6 linked regions of the Sus scrofa genome follow. The protein of the gene in region 4 purifies or fractionates together with the protein of the main gene of each other region. This does not show direct contact. Links are inferred from orthologs where the notes say so. Each region holds a gene or a part of one and is shown on either strand. Other genes may lie near its edges. The genes, in order: TMEM259, CANX, TMUB1, ERLIN2, INSIG1 and RNF170.

Evidence for each region.
Region 1: the proteins of ERLIN2 (region 4) and TMEM259 purify together in Homo sapiens (affinity purification with mass spectrometry; 3 studies listed by BioGRID and IntAct, with this or other methods). This does not show direct contact. The link is inferred for Sus scrofa from reciprocal best matches to the Homo sapiens genes ERLIN2 and TMEM259.
Region 2: the proteins of ERLIN2 (region 4) and CANX purify together in Homo sapiens (affinity purification with mass spectrometry; 4 studies listed by BioGRID and IntAct, with this or other methods). This does not show direct contact. The link is inferred for Sus scrofa from reciprocal best matches to the Homo sapiens genes ERLIN2 and CANX.
Region 3: the proteins of ERLIN2 (region 4) and TMUB1 purify together in Homo sapiens (affinity purification with mass spectrometry; 4 studies listed by BioGRID and IntAct, with this or other methods). This does not show direct contact. The link is inferred for Sus scrofa from reciprocal best matches to the Homo sapiens genes ERLIN2 and TMUB1.
Region 5: the proteins of ERLIN2 (region 4) and INSIG1 purify together in Homo sapiens (affinity purification with western blotting; 4 studies listed by BioGRID and IntAct, with this or other methods). This does not show direct contact. The link is inferred for Sus scrofa from reciprocal best matches to the Homo sapiens genes ERLIN2 and INSIG1.
Region 6: the proteins of ERLIN2 (region 4) and RNF170 purify together in Homo sapiens (affinity purification with mass spectrometry; 4 studies listed by BioGRID and IntAct, counting the BioPlex papers as one, with this or other methods). This does not show direct contact. The link is inferred for Sus scrofa from reciprocal best matches to the Homo sapiens genes ERLIN2 and RNF170.

Annotation. Positions count from the first base shown.
Region 1 is NC_010444.4:77,392,216-77,396,440, forward strand, and holds the start of TMEM259 (membralin), read left to right. Parts: upstream 1-1,425; 5' UTR 1,426-1,586; coding exon 1,587-1,808; intron 1,809-4,225. UniProt on the Homo sapiens protein: May have a role in the ERAD pathway required for clearance of misfolded proteins in the endoplasmic reticulum (ER). Promotes survival of motor neurons, probably by protecting against ER stress.
Region 2 is NC_010444.4:78,913,025-78,917,037, forward strand, and holds the start of CANX (calnexin), read right to left. Parts: upstream 2,801-4,013; 5' UTR 2,622-2,800; intron 1-2,621. UniProt on the Homo sapiens protein: Calcium-binding protein that interacts with newly synthesized monoglucosylated glycoproteins in the endoplasmic reticulum. It may act in assisting protein assembly and/or in the retention within the ER of unassembled protein subunits.
Region 3 is NC_010460.4:6,141,005-6,145,250, reverse strand, and holds TMUB1 (transmembrane and ubiquitin-like domain-containing protein 1), read right to left. Parts: upstream 2,801-4,246; 5' UTR 2,762-2,800; intron 1,832-2,761; 5' UTR 1,802-1,831; coding exon 1,413-1,801; intron 1,156-1,412; coding exon 804-1,155; 3' UTR 356-803; downstream 1-355. UniProt on the Homo sapiens protein: Involved in sterol-regulated ubiquitination and degradation of HMG-CoA reductase HMGCR. Involved in positive regulation of AMPA-selective glutamate receptor GRIA2 recycling to the cell surface.
Region 4 is NC_010457.5:48,659,721-48,663,841, reverse strand, and holds the start of ERLIN2 (erlin-2), read left to right. Parts: upstream 1-1,321; 5' UTR 1,322-2,025; coding exon 2,026-2,097; exon of another isoform or gene 2,098-2,578; coding exon 2,579-2,700; intron 2,701-4,121. UniProt on the Homo sapiens protein: Component of the ERLIN1/ERLIN2 complex which mediates the endoplasmic reticulum-associated degradation (ERAD) of inositol 1,4,5-trisphosphate receptors (IP3Rs) such as ITPR1.
Region 5 is NC_010460.4:2,895,959-2,900,125, reverse strand, and holds the start of INSIG1 (insulin-induced gene 1 protein), read left to right. Parts: upstream 1-1,367; 5' UTR 1,368-1,443; intron 1,444-2,062; 5' UTR 2,063-2,084; coding exon 2,085-2,493; intron 2,494-4,167. UniProt on the Homo sapiens protein: Oxysterol-binding protein that mediates feedback control of cholesterol synthesis by controlling both endoplasmic reticulum to Golgi transport of SCAP and degradation of HMGCR.
Region 6 is NC_010459.5:11,783,421-11,786,920, reverse strand, and holds part of RNF170 (E3 ubiquitin-protein ligase RNF170), read left to right. Parts: intron 1-1,027; coding exon 1,028-1,138; intron 1,139-3,500. UniProt on the Homo sapiens protein: E3 ubiquitin-protein ligase that plays an essential role in stimulus-induced inositol 1,4,5-trisphosphate receptor type 1 (ITPR1) ubiquitination and degradation via the endoplasmic reticulum-associated degradation (ERAD) pathway.

The sequences.
Region 1 (4,225 bases), on a different chromosome or scaffold from region 4:
TTTAGCTCTCCTTTTGCAATTAACAAGTGATCTGGGGGTGATCCATAAGAGTATCAAGCATGTGCACTGATTGAGTGCCTACTGATATGCCAGGGCGCACTATGAAACTGAAAGTCTTCACTCCAGGGAGTGGGATTAAACTGGCAGGTAGGTTTGGAAGGTTCCCTCAGGTAGGTTCCAAGACACAGCTGAAAAGTCTCCCCCTCCCCCGCCCCCACCCCCAGTGCAATTCAGAAGAGACCCCCTCCCAGGGCCTGGTTTTTCTCAGAAGCCCTGTCTGTGCCTTTCACGGTGGGGTGCTCACCATTGGGAACCAGACCAGACATCCACCTCAAGAGGTCCGCCTGTCTCCTGCTGGTCCCTGGGCCCTGTGAGGGCAGAATCCAGCCTGCACTGGCCACCGCTGTGTCCCCAGCACCAGCGCAGGCCCTGGGGTACTGTAAGCCACTTCCCTGAAACGTCTGAGCAGGCTTTGGGAGTCCTTCCCCAGGGCCGACACTCAGGATGCCTGAGCCCCTGGTCTCCAGCTCCATCTGCCCTTCCGTGCTTCCTGAGAAAGCCCACCCATACCTTGCTTTGGAACCTGGCATACAGTAGGTGCTCAACGAATGTTGGGACTGATTACTTCCTTGGTTACCAGGAGGAGCCAAGGCGTTTCAAAGATGAATGAAGGAGCGAGAATTTGGTCCAGACGTGTCCACCCAGGCTTGGCACCAGGCGGCAGCCAGGAGGAGGGGATGGTTGAGGCTCTAAGAATGCTTACCTCGGTTTCAGAGTCTTTTTCAGGGACCAGGTACACATCACTTGGGCCAGGGAGCAGAGAGGGACCCACTGAGCAGCCCGGGTCACAGAACAAAAAGCCAAAGCCAAGAGCGCTAGTGGGCAAGATCTGGATTGTGAAAAAGAAAAAAGCCTTTGCTTCAGCCTCTAGAATGAAAACAGCGCTCAGTAAACGACACAACCTGGGCCACCACTACGAAATGCTGGAAGGTGAGAGCCGGGTAAAGCCCGGAAACACCACACACGCTAATAACGTTACGAAGCACCCTTTCGGAACCACCGAAAGCGAAGAAAACAAAAGCCATACTTCCCGGGACATTATTTAAAGATCCCAATGCGATCACTTTACAGTTAGGGCAACCTAACGTAAGCGCAGCTACAGCATAATTTTCTAGAGCGCCACAAAGAAAACATCTTCACCGGTCACATTTACCTTACGTTTATTTTACCACCTCCAAAATCCTTATATGTTGACTAATTTTATCGCTCGCCTTCCAGCTGCATGGGCAATATGCAAAAGACCTGGGGACTAACGCAGCCCCGCCCCTAGGCGTTCCGAGCCAGGCGTCAGGACGGTGGGCGGGGCCGCCACGGGCCGACCGCCGGTATCCCGGCGTTCCGCGCGAGCGCAAGGAGGCCGCTCTTGCCCGCGCCGCGACTCGCTGGCGTCAGCTGGGGCACGGAGGCGGAAGATGGCGGCTGTAGCCCTACGGCCGTGAGGAGCGCGGCGGCGGCGAGGACTGCCGATGGCAGTCGGGAGGCGTCCTCGGGGACCCGCGGGCCGTTAGGGCGCGACGCTGGGCGGCATGTCGGAGCACGCGGCGCCCGGGGCACAGGGGCCCGGGCCCAACGGTGGCGGCGGCCCGGCCCCCGCGCGCGGGCCTCGCACCCCCAACCTCAATCCCAACCCTCTCATCAACGTGCGCGACCGGCTCTTCCACGCGCTCTTCTTCAAGATGGCTGTCACCTACTCGCGCCTTTTCCCTCCCGCCTTCCGTCGTCTCTTCGAGTTCTTCGTGTTACTCAAGGTGACCGCAGCCCCAACCCTTGACACCGGTAGCCGGACCCTTCCCTCAGATCTGCGACTTTTGATCCCGCCGGGGGGAGCGCGCCCCTCCCACCCGGAGGCATAGACCCGGCCCTACCCGTTGGGACCCTTCCCTTTAAGCCTGCCATTCCCGACCCCCTGCCTAGAAACTTCCAACCGCGAAGGCCCGAGGCTCATCCGGTTAGTGGCTCCTGATCCCGACTCCAGGAACTCACTCCCAGCCTTTTCCAGCCGCACCCCACCCCTGGCCTCGCCCTTCCCCGCGTCCCCCACCTCCGGAGGCTGGAGCCCGGCAGTCCAGCTCCAGGACCTCCTGGCCCTGCCGCCTGGGATTCTCAGCCCCGGATGATCCTTTCCCAATCCTCCGAGTCTGGCCTGGCCCAGCCCAGAACTCCAATCCTGGAGGATTCCAGGTTCCACCGCCAATGCCCCCTTCCCAGGACACACCCCCCTGGCCTCCCACTGCACCGAAAGCTCCTCCCTCTTTTTCTTAGGGCTCTGCTTTGGTCCTTCAGCTTGTTCCCACCCCCATTCTCCCTGCTCTGAACCTCCCGGGGGAATGTGACCTAGCTGAGGTCACATCGCCAGGGCTAGTGACAAAGTCCCAGCCGGTGGCGCTGCTTGTGGCACAGTGAGGGACCTCCTGGGAACCTACTGCCTGTCCTGCCTCTGGTGGCAGAGCTTTCAGCTGGGAGGATAGTTCTGGGAGGACGGGTGTCTGCATGGGTCCTCCAGGAAGGGGTCTCACTCAGAAGGAGCTCACTGGGTGCCAGGGTCCTGGTTGCCATTTCGTTTGGTGTCCTGTAGTTACTGCCAGGCTGGGGTGGGAGTGCTGACATTGGAGTAAGTTTTGGATCCTTCATCTGCAGAAAAGAGGCTGGTGCTGACGGTCAAGGTACATGGAGTGCCAGCCAGGTCAACTTGGTTGGTGTGGTGCAAAGCGAGCTAGTGTGGCTGTCCCACAGACCTGGGTGTGGGTTCCAGCCCCGCCACAGCCTCCAGGGAGACCCTGAAAGCCCCAGGCCTAAAGTGAGACTGACACATGCTCTTTGCCTCACAAGGCTGTGCGGAGCCTGCCTGCCTGCCACCCACCCCCCAGAATGGCAGTCATCCCCTTTCAGAGGCATGGAGTGAGCCTCTGAGGATCCTGAGTTAGGATGTCTCTATCTGGCTCCTGGGACCCAAGAATGGCTTGAATGGAGGGAAACCCATGCATGGAGTGATTTCCTTAGGAAAGGGAGGATGGTTCTCCCCAGAGGAGCCCCTGCCAGGTGTGCCCTGTGTGAGGTGGGCCCCCTCTCCAGAAGTTCAGCCTCCTCTGAGAGCAGGTCCTGTACCGCTTCCTGATTGAGGAGCCAGGCAGGGCAGGGCTTGGGGCAGGTGGGGTGTGTATCCATTCTACGTCCCTGGTCCCCTGCATCTCCTCTCTGGACAGAGTGCAGCCAGAGGGGTTCCTTGCTCCCTGTGAACCTGCCTGGCCCCTGGTGGCTTTGGTGTCCTCCAGTGGAGTCGGGGCAACTGATCTCTGAAGCAGTCTCAAGTACCAGAAAGCTCTGCCTCGTAGCTTCCTGCCTTGTAGCTTCCGGGCTCTTGCTGCAGAGATGAGTTGCAGAGATGAGTTCCCCTGTCGGACTTCCTCACGCTGGCCTCTTCCTGGGGCACCTGTTCTGCTGAGCTCACTGTCGGCAGAGTCAGCCCAGCTCCCTGCTGTACCTCGGGTGCTTCTGGGGACTGGAGTCCAGGGCCTTTGGGGAGCAAGAGGTAGGGTCCAGGCCTGTGTTTGAGGCAGACCCCTGCTGGCCTTGGCTCCCACCTCTGCTGGATCACCCAGTACCAGGCCAGGGGCAGCAGGCCTGAGGTGCCTGAGCCTGTACAGTTGGACTCTGGGCCCTGGGGAGTCTGATCCTGCTGCCACTGAGCGGACACCCACAGGGTCATGGGGCTCTGACCAGGGCACCTTTGCCATTCACTCCCTCTATGCCACCTCTCACCAGTCTCTGGGACCCAGTGATGAGTGGGCTGACCAGGAGGAGAGGGTGACAGAGCAGCAGGGCAGGAGCTGTTAGGGCAGGCATCCTGAGGCTGTGAGGAGGTGGGCGGCAGGAATGGTGTCTGTGAAGGCCTTGGAGCTGGCATGGCGGTGTGGCTAGAGAGGTGGGGCACAGGGTCATGGAGTGCCAGGGGCTGGGGGCTGGCGCACCCAGGGCCAGTGAGGTGGCCAGGAGAGGCCCTGGACAAGACTCCTGAGACCCTAGAATGGAGAAGTGGGCAGGGCTGCTGGGTCCCTGAGTGGGCCCCAGACCCCACCTTGCCTGGGTGGATGGGACTTCCCTGTGGCAGACGATGACTGAAGTTTTGTCTGCTAGCTTGTTCCATAATAGGGAAACTGGCCCAGAG
Region 2 (4,013 bases), on a different chromosome or scaffold from region 4:
AAAGGGGGGAAAGTACATAAAATTCAAAGTGGTCTTTATTGTAAATGCCCATCTACTTGAAAATAGATATATACTGCCTAGTTTCCTAGTTTACTGTTTTGAAGTTTGCTTTTCACTGACAGGAACATTAAAATCTATTTTTCCATAGCGGTTTTTTCCTATAAAGTAAGAAGGTTTAAGAGGTGGCTACTCAAACGCTGCTGAAGATTCTAAATCCTCTAAAAAGCATAATTCTCCAAATAATTTTCACAGCTCATAGCTAAGATTAATTTAAATGTACATCTGTTTTAGGCAACAAAATATTCAACCTGTACCTTCCTGCAATTCTACAGTAAGTCTACAGGTTATAACTATGTTCAGGCACTTTTATTATTTTCTAGGAGTTGTTATGAGCTGCCAGCTCTTCTTTGCACAGTTCAGTTCATTATTCCATTCAAAGTAGTTTCATGGGAGTTCCCGTCGTGGCGCAGTGGTTAATGAATCCGACTAGGAACCATGAGGTTGCGGGTTCGGTCCCTGGCCTTGCTCAGTGGGTTAACGATCCGGCGTTGCCGTGAGCTGTGGTGTAGGTTGCAGACGCGGCTCAGATCCCGCGTTGCCCCGCATTGCTGTGGCTCTGGCGTAGGCCAGTGGCTACAGCTCTGATTAGACCCCTAGCCTGGGAACCTCCATATGCCGAGGGAGTGGCCCAAAGAAATAGCAAAAAGACAAAAAACAAAACAAACAAAAAAAAAACAAAGTAGTTTCATGTTCACCATCTTACTTGTCCCTCCTAAAAAGCCCCCTAATGGTAAGGTAGGTAGTCAGAGGATTCCTCACTCCAATTTTAAAGACATAGAAACCAACTTAGCTCATAAGCTAGTTACCATGCTGGGCCTGGAATTCAAGTCTCTTGAGTCTGCATTTATGCTTACCAACTGTCGCTTCGTTCCCTTAAGCTATCTCTCAGGGCAAAGTGAACTCTGTAACTGAAAGGATGCAATAGCAGGATTGCCAAAACTGCAGCAACAACTTCTGTCAAAACGTTTACTCTTTGGAAGATAATGTGTTAGCTGAAACTGTTAAGGAGAGATAGTCAAGTAGGAAGGGATGCTGACACCCATTATCGGATAGGTCAGAAAATCTGCGGTGCAACACATTTACTCCAATACACAGCTCACTGTAGCCACCTCATGATCCAGTTTCCTGGCTTGTTTGCTTGTGCACACAGACTGGTGCACAGGAGGACTCCCACACAGTGCTTTACCTCTGCTCTAACTACAGCAAATATACAACTCAGCAGTGACCCTTCAACAGTACTGAAAAAAGAGTGAGGTACACAACAGTCTTGAAGATCAACGGGGTTCCCCTCTTAAAACAAAACAAAACAGAACGAAAACCTCCCCACACCATTCTACCCATTAAGAAATTAAGTAAAAGGTTCTATTTCTTAAATTAGAGGTAAAGAGACCTAACTGTGGTTCACCTTTCTCCTCCCAAGCTTTTAATTAATATCCAGCTCAGTTTAACTTCCCTCAATCAGCAGTCAAACCACTAGGTCCAGTTTCTTCCTCCTATTTCCATAAATGTGACTTCAGGTCCTGGAAAATAGGACTTAGCTAATTAGGATGTTAGTGTAGTGGATCAACAGCATTCACCATAATAATTTACTGCAGTCATTTATCAAGCAGTTAAAAATGTACATCTAACTTTCCTGCTCTTTCTTACACACGTCTTAATGGTAACAACAACTCTATCAGGTATTACATCCATTATCTGAAACGAAGTGAACTGCCCAGGTTCACATAGCAACAAATGGCTGATGAAGGACCTGAACAAGGGCCTTAGTCTTAACCACTACACACAAACTGCCTAGCTTTCAACTGTAATTCCAACGTGATCATAAAACTAATCGCATGACCTTGGGCCGATCATTTCTGAGCTCTGGGCCTCAGTTTCCTTCACTATAAAACGACCTGCCCACGGAGAGCTTTTGGGTGCTTTCCTGCTTTTAAAAGCCCACTGAATTTACGACGAGATTACTTACTCCCCCAATCTCCAAATAGATGTAAATGTTAGGACTTAAGTTTTTTAACCAGTGCGTGTTCTAGCACATTCTCCATACTCTTCAGGCTGCTACAGTCCAGTCTTCACTTTGCGGTTTTAATTTTCAAATTTTAGATCTGTAATGCTAATTCTAAATATCCTCTCTCTGTCCTATTATCACCTTTCCCCACTACTAAGAGTACCAACAAGGCCCGATCCTATTCCAGACCTTTACCCGGTTACTCTACCCCACCTCACAGCTTCCCAGGCAGTCAGCAATAGGTATAAGAAAGCCCTAGAAGCAGAACCATGAAGAGAAGTTAGCTTTCCCAGAGGTCAAGAAAGGCTCTAGGACACCTGCCACGCCTCCCAACCCCGGCGGCGCGGCCTGGGCCTGGCTCCGCAACTCAAGCGGCCCAGGTTCAGGCCTAACCCATCCCGTCTGGCGGGTCCACCAGGGCCTGAGCCATCGAAACTCAGCCGGACCCCTCAGCCCCGGCCACGCCCGGCTTCTCGAGACCTCCGCCGCCAGGCCGCGCACCCAGGCCCCCGAGGGTCCTCACAGGCCCGAAGACACGGGCAGGCCCCTGTCTCACCTCAAGCCTCAGGAGGACCGCCGGTGGTGCCCGCGCCTCCTCCCGCCCGCACACCTGGCCCCACGCTGCAGTGGAGACAGCGGCTGAGGGAGCCTGACCGTCACGTGCCGCAGAACCAAGAGGCCTCGACTCCTGCAGCCGCCGCGCGAGCGAGCCCCACCGCACGAAGCCCGGCCCTGCGTCCGCCCCTGTCTCCTCAGTAGCTACCACCAGCGCCAAGTCCCGCCCTCTCGCGCAAGATCCTGAATTCAATTGGTTATTGTGGCCATCGCTCTATGCACCTTCCCATACGCCCCCTAGGGCTATTCTTCGTGGAGTGTGGGGATTGGTTAGGAGTGAGGCAGGAAGTGGCTGTTGGTTGGGCAGTATGGAAGGAGGCGGTGTACGGCGGCATCGGGATCGGCGGGGGCGCGCGCGCGCGCGCGCGCGTCGTGGGGCGGGACTGGCCAGGCAGGCGTTCCCGCGCTGGTTGTTCTGGTGCCTTAGTGGGCGCGCTGCCCGGCACTGCATCCTAATTTCTATGGTTTCGACCGTTCAGGTGCCTGGACCCGGGCCTCGGGGTCTGGCATCTCATTCCCTTCGATGAGAGAGCAAATGGAAGCTGGCAGGATGGGTGGGAGGTCCATTGAGCCATCGGGAAGGACCTGGTTTCCAGTGCAGCGAGTGCGCAGATATGATGGAATCAGTCACGGCTCCCTTGGCCTGTCCTGGAGTCGCTGTACACCAGGCGCCACCGTTCCTGCAGAGTCATTGCTCTGGGCCCAGCAGTCTGAGGCCGCCTTATCACCCAACGTCAAAATATAGCCCAGAATACTATAATCCAGCGTTACTTCAACTTTCAATTTGTGATGTTTCCAAAAGCAAGATAAGACAAAAAGGGCACAATCACACTTAACAGCAGTGAGTGAGAAAAAGATGGTGCAATGGAAAATTTTCAAACACACCACAGATTTTGTAACTAACTTTTAGCACATCTTCAGTTTTCTGGGCCTGAGACAGAGCAGGACTGTAGATCCTACTAAGGATCTTGTTAGAGATTTTTTTTCCGTTAAAGCACAATGTTCTTAAAAGGAAGCTGAGGCCAAATCTCTGAAGAATGAATTTTGTGTTTGTTTTTTTCACAATTTGAAGTCACTTTATTTACTGACCCAGATTACAAAAATAATCACATAGACAACTCAGTTCATCCATTTAATAAGCCTGTTAGATCTATTTATCTGGGCCCTTCAGGAGAAGATAGTTTGAAGGGCCACAGGATGTTGTTTGCTTCTTTGAAGCATTTTCCAACAGTACGGATTTCATGAATAAGATCCTCCAGGAGTTACTATTGTGGCTTAGTGAATTAAGAACCTAACATAGTGTCTGTGAGGATGCGGATTCAATCCCTGGCCT
Region 3 (4,246 bases), on a different chromosome or scaffold from region 4:
AATCGCGGCACGGTCCTCCGCCAGCGGAGACGTGGCTCCCGTCAGGCCCCGCGCGCCAGGGTGCCGCGCGCCCCGCCCCCTGCTTCTGGGAAGCTGCGCGCGCGGCTCCGGGGCGGGGGCGGGACTAGGAGCGGGGCGGAGCCCAAGGGCGAGGAGCCGAGGATGCAGCGAAAAGCAGAGGGGAAGTCGGCAGCCAGCCTGGGCAGGTTGGGCAGGGCGAAGTGCCTGGTAAGTGGGAGCGCCCAGCACGGAACCTAGGACCGTCCGGCTGCGGATCCCGCGTTCTACCGTCTTTCTCCCAGTGGGCAGGAGCTCCCTGCCCCACGGGCCCACACAGGCAGGCACACACCAAGAGTGAAAACTTCACAGTTATTTAATCTGCACATGTTCCAGAGAACCCCCTCCTTCCCACCCACGCTCCCGTCCTTGGGTCCCTAAATCAGCTCAAGATGCTCTCAGGGACTAGAGGTGGCTGGGTTTTCAGGCAGAACACTAAGAAGGGCCTAGGGGCGTGGCCGGGCTCTGCCCAGGGCCGAGGCAGCGACAGCAGCTGTCTGACCCGGAGGAGCTGACTGTCCGTGGGGGCTGAGGGCCAGCAGCCCCAGAAGGTGGCCCAGAGCCATGAAGGTCACAGGGAGGGGCCTCCGCCGGCCCCCGGAGCGCTCTGCGGCGCAGGGCTGGGCTCCAGGGTAGTGGGAAGAGGCAAGTGGGAGAGGCCGGCCGGGGCAGACAGCAGCTCCCACCGTGTCGTGGGGAGCAAGGTCCGGAGGGGCCAGCGACACTGCCAAGAGCCCGTGGAGGCACTACGGGCGGTACATGGCAAAGGCCAGGAGACTGAGGAGTAGGGTGAAGCCGGCCAGACCCAGGGTGGCTGTCAGGGGAAAGAAGGGCCGGTACTGGATCTGGCAGTACCAGAGCAGCAGCAGCAGCAGCAGGAGCAGGGGCAGCAGGAGGCTGCCTACCTCCAGCCCGGAGGGGCCTGGCTCTGACCCCGGTGGGCAGGGTGGGTGTGGGGGACCCACCCGGGTGGACACGTGGCAGTGGAGAACGCAGTTGGGAGGGAGGTGAAGGCTGCCCAGGGTCTGGGTGTCGTCTCCTAGCAGCTGCCCTTGGTAGATGAGTCGCACGTGCTGCTCCCGTCCGGGAAACTGGGTCCTGAGGAGAGAGGGACCTGGGTAATAGAGCAGGTCTCAGGCAATCCTGGCCCCTCGCCCAGAACAACTCTCTCACTTCTCTCCTCCACCTACCACCCAGGGCTCCCTCCGCAGGGGCCTCTCCTGCTTCAGAGGAACAATACCGTGTGAGTGGCTTGGGGACCTCAGTTCCCATCAGCATCTCTGGTGGCCCTTCCACGCTGTGACCATTCCCACCCGACTCATTACCACTTCAACCCCGTCCTCTTCCCAGCTTACCTTTTCAGGGAGCCAATGGTGTCGTGGGGCCAGGCCCTGGCCACCTGCTCTGAATCGTTGAGGAATTTCAGCCGTAGCACGAGGGGCTCTTGGGGGGAGTCCTGGGGTGGCGGTGTGGCCGGGAGCCCCATGCCAGACTCTGGCTGTGCAGCCTGACCTCTGTGTCTCAGGCTCGGGGTCTCAGCTCCTGGGGCCTCCCCTCTGATGCTGTCAGTGACCGCCATGGCTTCGCTGGGCTGTGTTGATGGTGGGGTCCCTGATGGCTGGGACAGTGGATCCACGCCCTCGGCAGTGTGTGTTGAGACCCAGGCGAGAGCCAGCACCAGAAGGCAGGCAAGCACCGCGAAAAGGATGGTCACCTCATCACCCACCCCTTCAATCAGGGCCATGGCACCTGCCTTGCCCGCTGGGCTACCGAGCTGGAGAGGCACAAAGAACCCATGAGGGGCTGGCTCAGCCTCCAAGAGCCCTCTGAACTTCAGGGGCGTCCGACCCCACCCCACTACAACTCTCCCACAGTCCCAATTCCTTTGCCCACTTAGCCACACCCCACCCTGGGACACAGACTGCTCTCCCTCTTGCTTGCCCCAGACTTGGGTCACATGCCCCTTCCCATCACCAAACCCCAAGTCCTAATTTTTTGTAACCTAAGTTCTAGGTCTTTAACCAGCTCTCCAATTCACCCACATCCTACTCAGAGGTCAGGCCTTGACCTTCTAAGCAACCTCTCCCCTAAATTCAACCCCCATCAAACTTCACCCCAAAGCTTACCTATTCTTTCCATCTAATTCATCCCAAAGTTTATCTATTCCTCCATCACTAAAGTTTCTCCAAGGGGGAAGAAAAAGGTCTCCAGACACACACAGACACACAAAAGGCTTTCCTCCACGAACACACACACACACACACACACACACACACACACACACACACACACACAGCACACCCCCGCCCCTTTACTATTTACCCAAACCTCCCACCCGTAACACGATACAGTTTCCTAAAGCTTCCCCACGTCGAAACGAGCCCTTTGGCAAACTGGAATCTCCGAGGGTCGCTGCTCCCCACCGCAACTCGGCCCCCCTCGGTCCACTCAAACTCCACCCCGAGTCGGCCCAGTTCCGCGCCTCCTCTTAGACGCCTCTCCAAACCTAGCCCGCAGCAGGACCCCAGATACCGCCGGAATCCGAGACTTTAGCCTCCCCACCCCCATCCTCCATCACCCCTCCCATCTTCCCGCCCGCCCCCCAACCCCAGCGGCGGGAGTGCCAGACCGATCCCGGGGCGGGGCGAGCGGGGGCCAGCTGGCGGGGGCGGCGGGGTGGGCGCGGTCAGAACGCAGGACTCACCGCCCGGCTCCGCCAGCTCCATAGCGGACCCTCGGGCACTTCCGGGCGGGAGGTGGCGAGGTCGCAGACACCTGGAGGCACCCTCCGCTTCCCCGCCGTGCGAAGTATTGTGGGACTTGTAGTCCAGCGCGGTGCGCAGTCCCCGCCTTCCGCGCTGCGGATCCACGGGCAGGACTCGGCTGTCTCGTCCCAGTGCCCGCAAATTGCTGAGGGGACGGCGGGGTTGGGTTTGGGGGGTGTGCTCTCCCGTAGAGGTTTGGGCGACAGCAGGGACAGCCCCCTGCCCGGGGCAGTTGGGGCATCTGTTACTCCAGAAACCAGCGTTAGCTGGAGCTTGTTAGAGCACCACTGTTTCCAGAAGCAGCATCGGGGAAGCTCGAGTGGATCCTACCTTGGCCTACTCTTCTTTCTTTTTACAGCCGCACCTGCGGCACATGGGTGTTCCCAGGCTAGGGGTCGAATAGGAGCTGCACCTGCCGGGCTGCACCACAGCCTTAGCAACACCAGATACGAGCTGCATCTGCGACCTACACCACAGCTCACAACGCTGGATCCTTAACCCTCTGAGTGAGGCCAGGGATCCATGCCACATCCTCACACTGTGTCGGGTTTTTAATCCGCTGAGCCACAACAAGAACTTTAAGTCAGAGTGGACCCCAGAAGTCATCCTGGATCCTCCAAATTGACTCTTCAGCCCAGCGCCCAGTATCCATGGGCTTCCCCACCAGGCTGGCCACGGTGGCTTGGGCTGCTTATTTACCAGGTCCCCTCCTCCCCTTTCCCCCGAAAGACTGTGCAAGAGGCATAGACTTTGGAACGTGGCACAAATGCTGATCCCTTATCCTGTGCTTATCAACTATGTGACCTTGGGTGCTTTACTGAATGTCTTTGAACCTAAATTTCTCTGTTCCCAACACATACCTCAAAAGGCAATTGTGGAGTTCCTGTTGTAGCTCAGCGGGTTAAGAATCTGACTAATCGACCCCTAGCCTGGGAACCTCCATATGCCACAGGAGTGGCCCTAGAAAGGGCAAAAAGACAAAAAAAAGAATCTGGCTAGTATCCATCAAGATGCAGGTTTGATCCCTGGCCTCACTCAGTGGGTTAAGCATCCATCGTTTCCATGAGCTGTGGTGTAGGTCACAGACTCGGCTCTGATCTGGCGTGGCTGTGGCTGTGGCGTAGGCCAGCAGCTGCAGCTCCGATTTGATCCCTAGCCTGGGAACCTCCATACGCCTCAGGTATGGCCCTAAAAGAATAAAAAATACAAAAAAAATTTTTTTAAAGGCAATTGCAAGAAAAATTAGGTGTTTTATTAAATAAGTGTGAAAATTATGCAGAGGAGCTGTCACACGGTGGATATTTGTTCACTTAGTATTAGAACACTCCTTCCACCCAGATCTTAGAGTGTTGCTATGTAGGGGATGTCGAGCCTCAGCCTGGCCTGGGCCCATTCCTTTCCGTGGGTTTTTCTCTCCTTTCTCT
Region 4 (4,121 bases):
GAGGATCAATCTGGAAATTGGTCAAGTGTGTATCGGCCGGGAGGTGAGGGTGGGGTGCCAGAAGTGCAGGAACAGGAGAGGAGAGACCCTCATTTATGAAGGTGGGCACAGAACTCTCAGGAAGTGCCTTGCGGCCCACTTATGGGCTTAACAAATAAGGAAACTTCTCAACACATACTCACCCAGAGCAAACTCCCAGGGGTGAGGGGTGGTGGGGGCTGGAAATAGGCCAGCCCCAAGCAACAATGGCTGGAAAACCTACACTTTCCTTTTCCTGTGTCCTAAATCTGACCAACACCACCAGGGTGCCATTTTCCCTGTGTAAAAGCTTTCCCTGTAACCAAGGCTGTAATTAAGTGGACTGTCTCTTCGAAAAAACTTCAGTGGCTGAATTAAAAATGCCCCAATGTTATGCTGTCGACCAGTGAAGGCTGCGGTCTGGGAGACACAAGGTCTGGACGCTGGGCCTGGTTCCACTGCGCTGCAGTCTGGGTTTTTTGGTTGTTTTGTTTGTTTGTTTGTTTTTGCCAGGCACCTAAACGCCCACCCAGGGATGCTGAGGGAAGACGCAGCCCCAGCCCACAGGGAACTTAGAGCCTAGCGAGCAGGTACGGACAAGCAGCAGAAGTTACCAGGCCCTTAAGCTCCCGACGTTAGAGCAAAGCAGGCTTTCATCCACGGCTATCCTCGCGCCTCACTGAACCTACATTTTGTTCACTAAAATTAAGATAATTCCCTCAATCTGCTTTATGGTGCTGCGGGGACCTCAAAGGCCAAAGCTCCTACAAAAGCATAAAGGGCAATTCAAAGTAGTGTCTGTTGATTAGCGACGTAATGGTGCTTATCTGCACTTTTGAAAAAGGGGAGCAGAGAATTAGGAAGGTTGTAAAGGATAACCTGCTCTGAAAAAATAGGAACAGGTTTGGCCTAATCTGGAAGGGAATCCAGAGCAAACTCCAAAGTCAAAGCCTGGGAAAGTGACACCTCGTTCTCAGCTCCCGCAGCCACTGGTGCTGCCCCTGGGGTCACTCTCCAGGTGCCCGCACCACCCCCACCCCAGAAATTCCTGACGGTCGTCTTGACCGCCGGGACCGAGTCACGGGCGCCCTCTGGCGGCAATCCTCGGACAACGACCTCTCGAAGCGCGGGGGCGGGGCTGGCGAACTAGGGAGAGAAGGGGTGTGGTCTTCTCGCGTGAACTAATGGCGTCATCGAAGCGACGGGCCCGGAAGGAAGTAGCGCGCTGAGGGGTGTGGCGGCTTCTGCGGTTGCACTGGGGTTCGGACGAGTACGGAGCGCCTGGAGGGACAGCCTGGTACGCGGCCCCCGCCTCTTAGTGCGCGCGCTGGGCCTCCTTGCGGCTCGCGGCCGGAGCTGATCATCGTTTTCCCAGGCCCTCGCACAGCATCCTCTCTCCCTTGGGAGCGAGAAAGCAACCCCTTTCTGTCCCCTCCATTTCCCGCGAGCCCCTAGGCGGGACGGAGCGGAGGCTCTCGGAGCCTCCAGCCCCGACCCAGGGCTCTTGGGACTTGCGACCCTCTCTCCAAAAAGGGCAGGGAAGGAGCGCGAGGTGGGGCGGGGGTGACTTCGGGGGAGGGAAGGGCTTTTGTAGAAAGGACGCAGCTGCAGATCGGTAGCTGGAGGCCACACGGTAAAATAAGCGCCTCGCAGACGTCTGCGCCCGAGTTAAGTTAGACCCAGGAGGCAGAGTCCACGCCCTGCGCGGGTGGGCCCCGGCACCCCGATTGGGAACCTCGCTGTCAGTTACCCTAGTTTTTGCAGATCGTTCAGTGTTCAGGAAATGAGTCCCTGGATGCCAGCTCTTTCGCGTCCTGGTGTCTGAATGCAGTTGGACGCCGGAGCCCAGAGTCTCCCCAGCCTGAAGAACCCGCTTTCTGCTCTCACCATGAGCTTGCGGAACCTGCCAGGTGCAAAGCACCGGTCAAGCATATGGGAGGGAGTGTGGCTTCAGTCTTGCTCAGAGCCCTGCATTGTTTAGGGCCAAAGGAATAACTGGGAAAGTGAATGAAAGGCCAGAGAATCCCGCCATGGAACTCCGCTCGTATGCTGTCTCTGTCGCTCCAGCATCTGAAAGGAGTAAATAATGGTTTCCTTTGAAATGGCAGGCAATTAGGACTGGGAGTCTCTGACCAGAATTACACAGCCACAACTGCCTGTCATTTGACATGCTCTGTAATTTGGGCCAACGTACTGCAGCTGCTTCTCTTCCTCTTTTACTAGTATGAGTGGCTCCGGTGACAGCCCCTTCGTGTTCACAGGAAGAGAAGGCTGTGTTCTGAACGCTGACCAACTTGCACTGGTTTTCCCTTGGGCCAGGGCTGTTTCTGGAGTCACTGCCTCTTCCAGGAGGTGGGGAATATCATTCCACAGTTAAGGAATGGATGGGAGTGTCGACTGAGAGCAGGGATGAGGAGAGGTGTAGATCTAGCCTCTGTTCATACTACTATGGGCTGGATGGGAACCACTTTCAAGCGCCCAGCCTGGAGAGGTGCTCTCAGGGTCAGAGCTTTTCTCCCTCAAGTCGGACGGCACACGTTTTCCCGTTCTTTTTCCCCAGGATAAACTTTCACTGATGGCTCAGTTGGGAGCAGTTGTGGCTGTGGCTGCCAGTTTCTTTTGTGCATCTCTCTTCTCAGCCGTGCACAAGATAGAAGAGGGGCATATTGGGGTGTATTACAGGTAAGGCAGCAGCAGGCGCAATTTCCTGTTAAATGACTCTTCCCAAGTCAATGTTTAACAGATTCTGCTATCTCTGTTTGTATTTTGTTGAATAGGGGAGGATTTTAGAATGAGCTTTTGTGTCAGTGGCCATGGGGAGGGAAGTAACACACACACAAATACATACATGAAAGTAAAACTTAGTGGTCTAAGTTGATGCCATGGATGGTGATTGATAAACATTTATAGAGACTTAGAGATAAAACCTAAAGGCAAGCAGGTTCCTTGAAGATCATCTGAAACAGTGTTTGCTCCTACTTCTCTCTAGGCATCTTGGTGCCACAAGCTTACCTCTAATGAGGACCAGTTCTTGATGTAATTTAGACCTATTCTTGAAAATTGACATTTCAGGAAAAATGAAAGAGACTGCAGGTTGATTCACATCCATCAAGGCAAACTCTAGGTTCTTACAGTAACCCATTATGGTCACTTTATTTCATTACTCTTTTAAAAAAAAATGTATCTTTATTGGAGTTTCCATTGTGGCTTACTGGGTTAAGGACCCAACATAGTCTCCAGGAGGGTATGTGTTCGATCCCTGGCCTCACTCAGTGGATTAAGTATCCTATGTTGCCATAAGCTGTGGTGTAGGTCACAGATATGGCTTAGATCCAGCATTGCTGTGGCTGTGACATAGGCCATCAGCTACAGCTCTGATTGGAACCCCAGTCCAAGAACTTCCATAGGCTGCAGGTGCAGCAATAAAAAGGAAAAAAATACATCTTTGCCTTAATAAAGAGGCATTTATAAATCTTGAGTTGCTTTCCTTTTAGTAACCTCCCTAACCAAGTATTTTGCTTTAAGTCTTTACCAAACCCTTCTTATTTGTGCCCTGTGATGCTTTTTTTCTGGATGCCAATGGCAAGTTCTAAACGTCCGATTGGGTTCCCCTCTCCCCTTTATTTCTTCCTGTCTCTGATTCTACATCCCCAAATACTGCTTTTAAATTTACTGCCATTTACATAGAACTTGATTAGAAAAGTAATTCTACTGCCAAAAAAATATGTTGATGGTTTATAAAGTGTACTTAAATTTTATTCTTTTGGTTGTTCGTGTCCCTGGACTCAAACATTAGTACCATCAACTGATCACCATATTACTGGATTTAACACCCTTACGGATCACCACCAGCTCAACAGATGCGGCAAGATAAGACAGACCTCCTCTCCTGTCTTAAGTATAGCCATGGATTCTGCTCTCTTGATTCCACTTTGCCTATTTTTTTCACTGCAAAAACACAAATAATGGTTTTAGGTTTTACCATTGGGTTTCCTAGAATATTGGGGTCGAGCTGAGAGCGGGGAAAAGGAACTGTGGACCTGACTCTAGCACGTGTCAGTCTAATAGATGTTTACAGTGCTTCCGAGAAAGCAGTGTTGATG
Region 5 (4,167 bases), on a different chromosome or scaffold from region 4:
CCTGACCAGTCACCTAACGGATCACCCTTGGGGGCCAGGAGAGTGAGCCATCCACTGCAGGCATGGCTTTTCTTTGTAGTCTCCTGATGGCCATCACAAATTCATGTGAATTCCCACCCCATCAGCCCCTAAAAATGAAGTCTGAGAAATGTTGATACCTCAGGAAGGTTTTTTCCAACCTTCTGCCATAAAAACCACAAACCCTGAGGTACGATGCCACACAATGCAGTACTTGACACCGCCTAAGCCTGTGAGCTCTCTTGACCCTATTAGAGCACAGACTTCCTCTCACCTGCAGAGAGAAAAGGCCGCACACTTGCTCTACTGTCTTTCCAGGACATCTTAAGTATCTTGCTCAACAAAATGTGGGTTTCCAGGTGGCACAGGGCCTGCCCTGCTATTTAGATGGTGTGACCATGGGGCAAACAGGATATAAATACATTACATCAACAAGATAAAACAGCGTTCTATTTTTTCTAAGTGGTTCTGATGGTTTGTTTCCCACTGAAAGACAATTCGAAACGAGAAGAAACGATTTTATGAATGACGATTTCATCATTTACATTTTCGTAAGTATTTTATGTCAGAAAAGTTTTCTGAACCACGCTGGTGGCAGAAAAACATAAAAGCACCCTTAACAACACCTAGATCCTTGCACGCAGCATACACAGCTCTCGTCTCCGAGCCCTCGCTCCCTGCCAGCACCTGCTGGTCGCTGCGCACACGAACCCGCTTTGCATGAGCAGGTGCGGCCACCACTGAGAGAGCTGACAAGGACCAGAGGTCAGAGCATCTTCAGGGCACAGGCGGCTGCAGAGTGACCAAGTGGAGCGGCCGCAGGGGAGAGGCTTGCCAACCGCCACGCCTGGGTGAGGGTCCGGCGACCTAGCTGTTCAGCCGCCGGACTCCAGGCCCGCGGCTGCCAATCCCTGGAAATCGCCCTCTCTCCGCGGTCCGCCGGGAACCTGCGCGGGGCGCCTCCCACCCGGGGCCCCGGATGCTCTCGGCCGACCCCTGCCTGCCGTCGGTGCGGCCCCCGCCCCCGCCCCGTCCGGCCGCGCCCAGTTCCAGCCCCCGTCCCGGGCCGGGAACAGCCAGTCCGCCGCCGGCCGTCCGCGCTCCCGAGCCAGTGCGCCGAGCTCGGGGCGGCGGTGGCGTGTGATGACGTCATATGGGCCGCCCGCCCACGATTGGCCGCGGCCGCCTCACCAGACCGTGAGCGGCCGTGCGCGCGGCCGGGGCGGGGCGCGCATGGGCCACGCCCCGAGAGCGCGGGCGGGGTGGCGGGCCCGGCCGGGGTCACGTGAGCAGCGGTATCACCGCCCGCCTTATAAGCTGCGCCGCGCGTGGACGGCCGCGGGCTCAACTCCAGGCGTTCTGGGCCGCGACTCTCCTCGGCGACCTCCTCCCCCGGCGAGCCCGCGGGCGGGCGCCCTTGGCCAGGTACGAGGGTGCGGCAAGGGAAACTGGGCCGGGAGCGGTGGGGAGCCCTGGGGACGGGGATGTCGAGGTCCCGGCAGCCGCCCCTCTAGACGGCCTTCCATTGGGGTCCTCAGCACCCACCCTCGGGCCTGGGTGCGCACCCTGACTCCAGCCCCAGCCGCGGGGTGGGGGACTGCATCCCCGACATCAGGTGGGCTCTGCCAGGGCTGTTCTCCGTCCGGGACGACCCCAGCAACTTGTCCTGGGGCGGCCTGCCGCTGGCTGGCCTCTGCCTCCTGCAGACGGGCGGATTCTGAAAAACTTTTGGACTGTACGGCCCAGAACTTCAGGGCTCATACAAGGAGGTACTGCAGCGGGATCACCCAGGTGTAGCTAACACCTGGCTGTGGCTGCAGCCTGTGCATCACCCAGGGCCCGGGTGTGGACAGGGTCCTTGCAGCCCCTCCCCCGCAGTACTTGCCCGTGGGCTACCCTGTGCGGCTGACTCCCTGAGACTCGGGGGTTTTCCTGGCCAGTGAACGTGCCCAGAGCCATGTCTCTGGGCCTCTCTGAACCTGCCCTGTCCCTTGGAAGTGAACTTGATCGGGATTCCCTCTCCCCACCCCCGTTTTCCTTCTAGGAAAGCCTGTCAGGTGTGGCTGATGCCCAGACTGGACGACCACCTCTGGAGCTGTCCCTGTGTTAAGGGCACGAACCACAGAGGCCACCCCAGGGCCAGTGCCAGAGGGCAGGAGGCCAAAGTGGGGGAGATGATCAGCTCCTCTGTGTCAGGCCCCTCTCTGCTGGTGGCCCACGGTGCCCAGGGCCCTGACCCCTCTCATGCGCCTCAGAGCACTGGCATGGGGAGCCATGGTGGCAGCGGCCACACCAACAGCTGGCATCACCACCTGCTGCAGAGGAGCCTGGTGCTGTTCTCGGTGGGGGTCGTGCTGGCCCTGGTGCTGAACCTGCTGCAGGTCCAGAGGAATGTCACCCTGTTCCCCGAGGAGGTTATTGCCACCATCTTCTCCTCAGCCTGGTGGGTCCCTCCCTGCTGTGGGACGGCCGCTGGTGAGTAGAAACAAACGACGTCTGTCTGGTGAAAAGCGGTTTTCAGCCTGTGGGAACCATTTGTGTGAAAATGGAACCATCCACAGAGGAGACTGTGCATCCCAGCGACTGTGTTTGGGGAGGGGGCTTGGAGGCTGGAGGAGGCCCGGTGGTGGAGATGGCGGGGAGGCCACTGGCTGCTTCTCGCCCGCTCGTGCCAGGCTGGCCAGGTCCTTCCCTCTTCCTGACCCGGCCCTGAGGCCAGTGCTGGGGGAGCCCCGCAGCTGTCATCCTAACCAGCTGCCCGGATTGGCCGCGGGCAGGACTGGTGAGCGGCGGGGCTGGAGTGCCATTGGCTGCCCCGGGGAACACGCTACCGGCCCGGTAACTGAAAACAAACCGTCACGTGGGCCCAGTGGGCAGAGCTGCTGCCCCAGCCCAGCGGCCTCCTGCTCTTCCTTTTTTGGAACAGCCCAGTGAACGTGGCCAGAGCCTGGCCTTGCCCCCACCGCTGGGCTCTGGGATGAAGGAAAAGGAAGTCTCTGTTTAGAGTTTGGACAGGAGCCACCCTGGCCAGACCCAGTCGTGACCCCGGGGCAGCAGTCTGCTGTGGACAGGTGGACTGGCTGTTTGGAGTAGAGTTGCTCAGTTATTTGGTTGCTCAGTTATTTGGTTTTATAAAAATGGCTCAGAAGGTCACTCAGTTCTTCCGGTCACACAGCATTTGCTGTGGACGAATTAATGGATGAATGGACACCTGCCGGGTGCTCTCTGTGGCCTCCGCCCGCCTGGCTGTAAAGCACGGAGCAGACACTCCCGTCGGACAGCCTCGCGTTGTAGCTCCCCTCTGTGAACTGCCGACCTCGCGGGCTCTGATCTTTCTCCTTTTTTCTTCTTTTTTTGGCCGCGGTGCGTAGCCACTTGATGTGGGGTCTCAGTTCCCAGACCAGGGACTGAACCCCGGCTGCAGCGGTGAAAGCGCCACGTCGGCCCCACGGGCCACCAGGGAACGAGCGCCCTGCCTCCTGTTCCGTAGGCTGTGCTTCCTTTGGTCCTTTCAGCAGTGCTCTGCTTCAGCGCCACTGCACAGAGGCGAGAACTGAATCAGAGAGGTGAAGCTCCTGTGTCTGCAGGGGCACAGCGGAGTGACAGGTCCCCGTTCGCAACCCTGCCTATACTGCCCCCTGGAGTCTGGGTGTGTCCCCTGCACCCTGGAGAGGGGCGTCTTCTCAGCAGGCTCACTTCAAACTGCAAGGAAGCAGTGGGCTTGGAGTGGAGCTTGTGTCCTAGGCAGGATGCCTCATGACGGGGACACTATGGTGATGAAGCAGAGAGTGGAAGGTTTTTCTCTTTGTTCTCAGAAACACTGGCTACTGTTGTTTTTCTAACCCCTTTAAGTTCATGGCTCTACTCTTAATCCTTTTGGAGAAACATCTCTTTCTATTCACATTTGGCACAATAGTTTCTTTGAATCAAAAGCTTGATTTTTAAAACCACTGAACCATTTTAGTTTAGGCTTGATTTGCAATTGAAGCTTCAAGGAATTCCAGGCATATCTGAAACACAACTTCTCATACCTTACTCACTTTTTTTTTTAAACCATCCGTCAAGGGCATAAGGGGAGAAATTCCATAGTACATTTTCACTTATTTAGCTTTTAACCTTAAAGGGCAAGATTAAGTTATACTGACTTGA
Region 6 (3,500 bases), on a different chromosome or scaffold from region 4:
CAGTATCAAGTATTACCTTTTTGATTGTGATAGAAATGGGTGCTTGAGAGCTGGTTCCTGCAATAACATCATCTCTGTATTAATGGTTGGTTGCATTCAAAGATCATTCAAGTACCAGCAAGGATAAGGAATCATGATTTTAATCAAAAATGAAATCCCTAGCAGTTCCCACCAATGGCGCAGTGGGTTGAGAATCTGACTGCAGGAATTTCTGTCGTGGCTCAGTGGTTAACGAATCTGACTAGGAACCATGAGGTTTTGAGTTCGATCCCTGGCCTTGCACAGTGGGTTAAGGATCCGAAGTTGCCTTGAGCTATGGTGTAGGTCACAGACGTGGCTCTGATCCCACGTTGCTGTGACTCTAGCCTAGGCCGGCAACTACAGATCTGATAGGACCCCTAGCCTGGGAACCTCCATATGCCATGGGTGCGGCCCTCGAAAAAGACAAAAAAAAAAAAAAAAAAAAAGTGGCTCAGGTCTCTCCAGAGGCTCAGATTTGATCCCCAGCCCAGTGCGATGAGTTAAATGATCTGGTGTTGCCTCAGCTGCAACCTATGGCTCGGATTCAGTCCCTGGCCCCGGAACTTCCAAGTGCAGTGAGTGTGGCCAAAAAAGAAAAAAAAGAAAAAAAAAAAAAAAAGAAATCCCTAATTTTTCTCTCTCAAAGTTATAGGTATATATTTCTCTGTCATTTTGCTCCTGAATATTTTCTCATCATTGTTATATCTTTAAATATCTGTTAGCCCAAAGAGAAAACTACTGACTTTATCCCTGTCATGGATTGGAAAATATTTAAATAAGGTGCCCGTTTTACGTTACAGGAGTTCACATTATATTTTGAATTGGGTTTTCTTGTAAGGCAATGATAACTTACTTTCCTCCCCTGTGGTGCCTGTGTCAAAAGAAATGAGCAAAATACCAATTTGGAAGCTTTTCTCATTCTACTGAATAGTAATAAAGTGAAAAAAATCACTGGTACAGAAAAGTGTAACAATTTCTTTTTTTTTTTTTCCCCTGTAATATGCAGGTAACTTTACTCCTAACAGTATTTGGTGAAAATGACCAGTCTCAGGACGCAATATCACTGCATCAGGATGTTAATGATTATAATCGGAGATTCTCAGGGCAGCCCAGATCTGTAAGTAATGATACAGCAGGTGCACAGTTAAAATGTAATGATACTTCTCCTTTGTATACTGAGGTTTTACCGACAGATGTTCTTTGATTCTGAAAAATCTGTATGTCTTGCATAAAGTTTGTACCTTCATCATTGTTGTCCTTACTGAGTTATAGCTTTCCCAAGGACTACAATTTTCTATCTTAAGGGGAAAAAAGGGCATTATAAAACTTTATGAAGTGATGCCAGCAATAGAAAAAAATTGGAAGGAAATGTAAAATTCTTGAAATAGGGTTTGTCATGTGAGAAACTTACAGCTGAGAACTTCTGGAGTTTTACCGTTGTGTTTTATTCTTATTTTACTTACCCTGGCCCCCAGTTTGAAATGTTCCCTTTAGTAACCCTAAGTTTGGGGGGTTTTCTATGTCAGCTATTCAAAAGCATTCCACTTTAAAGAATATATCAATTCTACAATTGCTCCTCTTCCCCCAAAAGGCATTTGATAGATTAAAATTCTGTCACATTATACTGATTCATCCCAGGTTTCTCAAAATTTAACAAAGAATTATAGAAGTGTGTGTCTGACTGAACATTTATTTCGAGACCCGGAGCATACTAAGTGCAAATTCACATGGGGAGCCTAAGCTGTCCTCCAAGCTCTGGCCTCCCATGTTCCCCTGCTCAGCCTCCATCTTGCCAGGATGCTCCTGGCATCTCAGGCTTAACACAGACAACCTGGCCCTGTTCCCAGTCACTCAGCTTAGTGGGTTTTCTTTGTTTTTTGTTTTTTTTGTTTTTTTGCTTTTTAGGACTGCACCCATGGCATATGGAGGTTCCCAGGCTGGGGGTCTAGTTGAAGCTGCAACTGCCAGCCTATACCACAGCCATAGCAATAAGGGATCCAAGCCTCGTATGCAGCCTACATCACAGCTCACAACAACGCTGGATCCCTAACCCATTGAGTGAGGCCAGGGATCGAACCTGCTTCCTCACGTGGATGCTAGTTGGGTTTGTTACCACTGAGCCACGATGGGAACTTACCACTCAGCTCAGTTTTGATGTCCTCCTCTGATCTCTGAAGAAGTCAGAGATCATGTCTTTTCTCTTTTGGGGGGATCCTGACATTTTTATCTCATAAGAATGTCCTGTGTCTATAGCCATCAAACTAGTCCCAGCCACCACCATCTCTTGCTTAGCCAACTTGCAATGGCCTCTTCGCTTGGAGTTTTTTTTCTCTGCACAGCAGCCTGAGTAATATTTTGAAAACACAAGTAAGGCCATGATATTTTTGTATTTTAAAGCTTCCAGTTTTTGGAATAGCGTCTGAACTCTTGGCTGCAGCTTACAAAGACGGTCCGGTCCCCCTCCCCCTCCCCAGGACATGCTCCACGCCTCCCACCTTCATGCCTCATGCGTGCCTTTTGCTCTGCTTGGATTGCATGTCCCTCTGCTCCTCTCCTGGCTTTCTCATCCTGCAGGGCGTTCCTATGTAGACCTTTCTTGGAGAGGCTGCCCTGATCAACCAGGATGGTCTCTGTCATTGCCCTCAGCCTTGTTCACTACCTTTCTCTCAGGAGGCAAGCTTCATGAGGGCAGGGACCCTGGTTAGTCATTACTATAGTCTCAGTGCCTGGGATATAATGGGCCCTTAACATCTGTGGAATTAATGGTTATCATCCTTAAGATAGGATGGATACCACGACTCCCAGCCAAGAATAGATGCTGTTAAAATGCTTCTGTATTAAACAGTTGTGACTGCCTGTGCTCCTTGGTACACACTGTCCATCATCCTGTGATGTCATGGACATTTCAAGGCATACAGGCTCACCTGTTGTGGATGGCAATGTGCAGATCTTTTTAGAAGTTTAAACAACAAGAGAAGTGTGACCCAGTCACTGTTGTCCTCCCTAGCTGTTTGGAGCCTCTTCTCTTTCTCATCCAGCAATTTTCTTACATGTCCACTACTGGTTTCTTAGGATGTTTCTCTGAAAATCAGTGATTCAAAGTCAAGAACTACCACTGAACTTAAAAAAAAAATCATTTTAAGGAGTTCCCATTGGAATTCCTGTCGTGGTGCAGTGCTTAACGAATCCAACTAACTGTGGGGTTTCGGGTTCGATCCCTGGCCTTGCTCAGTGGTTGAGGATCTGGCGTTGCCATGAGCTGTGGTGTAGGTTGCAGACGCGGCTTGGATCCCGCATTGCTGTGGCTGTGGTGTAGGTCAGCGGCTACAGCTCCGATTGGACCCCTAGCCTGGGAATCTCCATGTGCCATGAGAGCGGCCCTAGAAAAAAGGCAAAAAAAAAAAAAATAGGAGTTCCCATTATGACTCAACAGTAACGAACTCGAGTAGCACTCGGGTTCGATCCCTGGCCTCGATCAT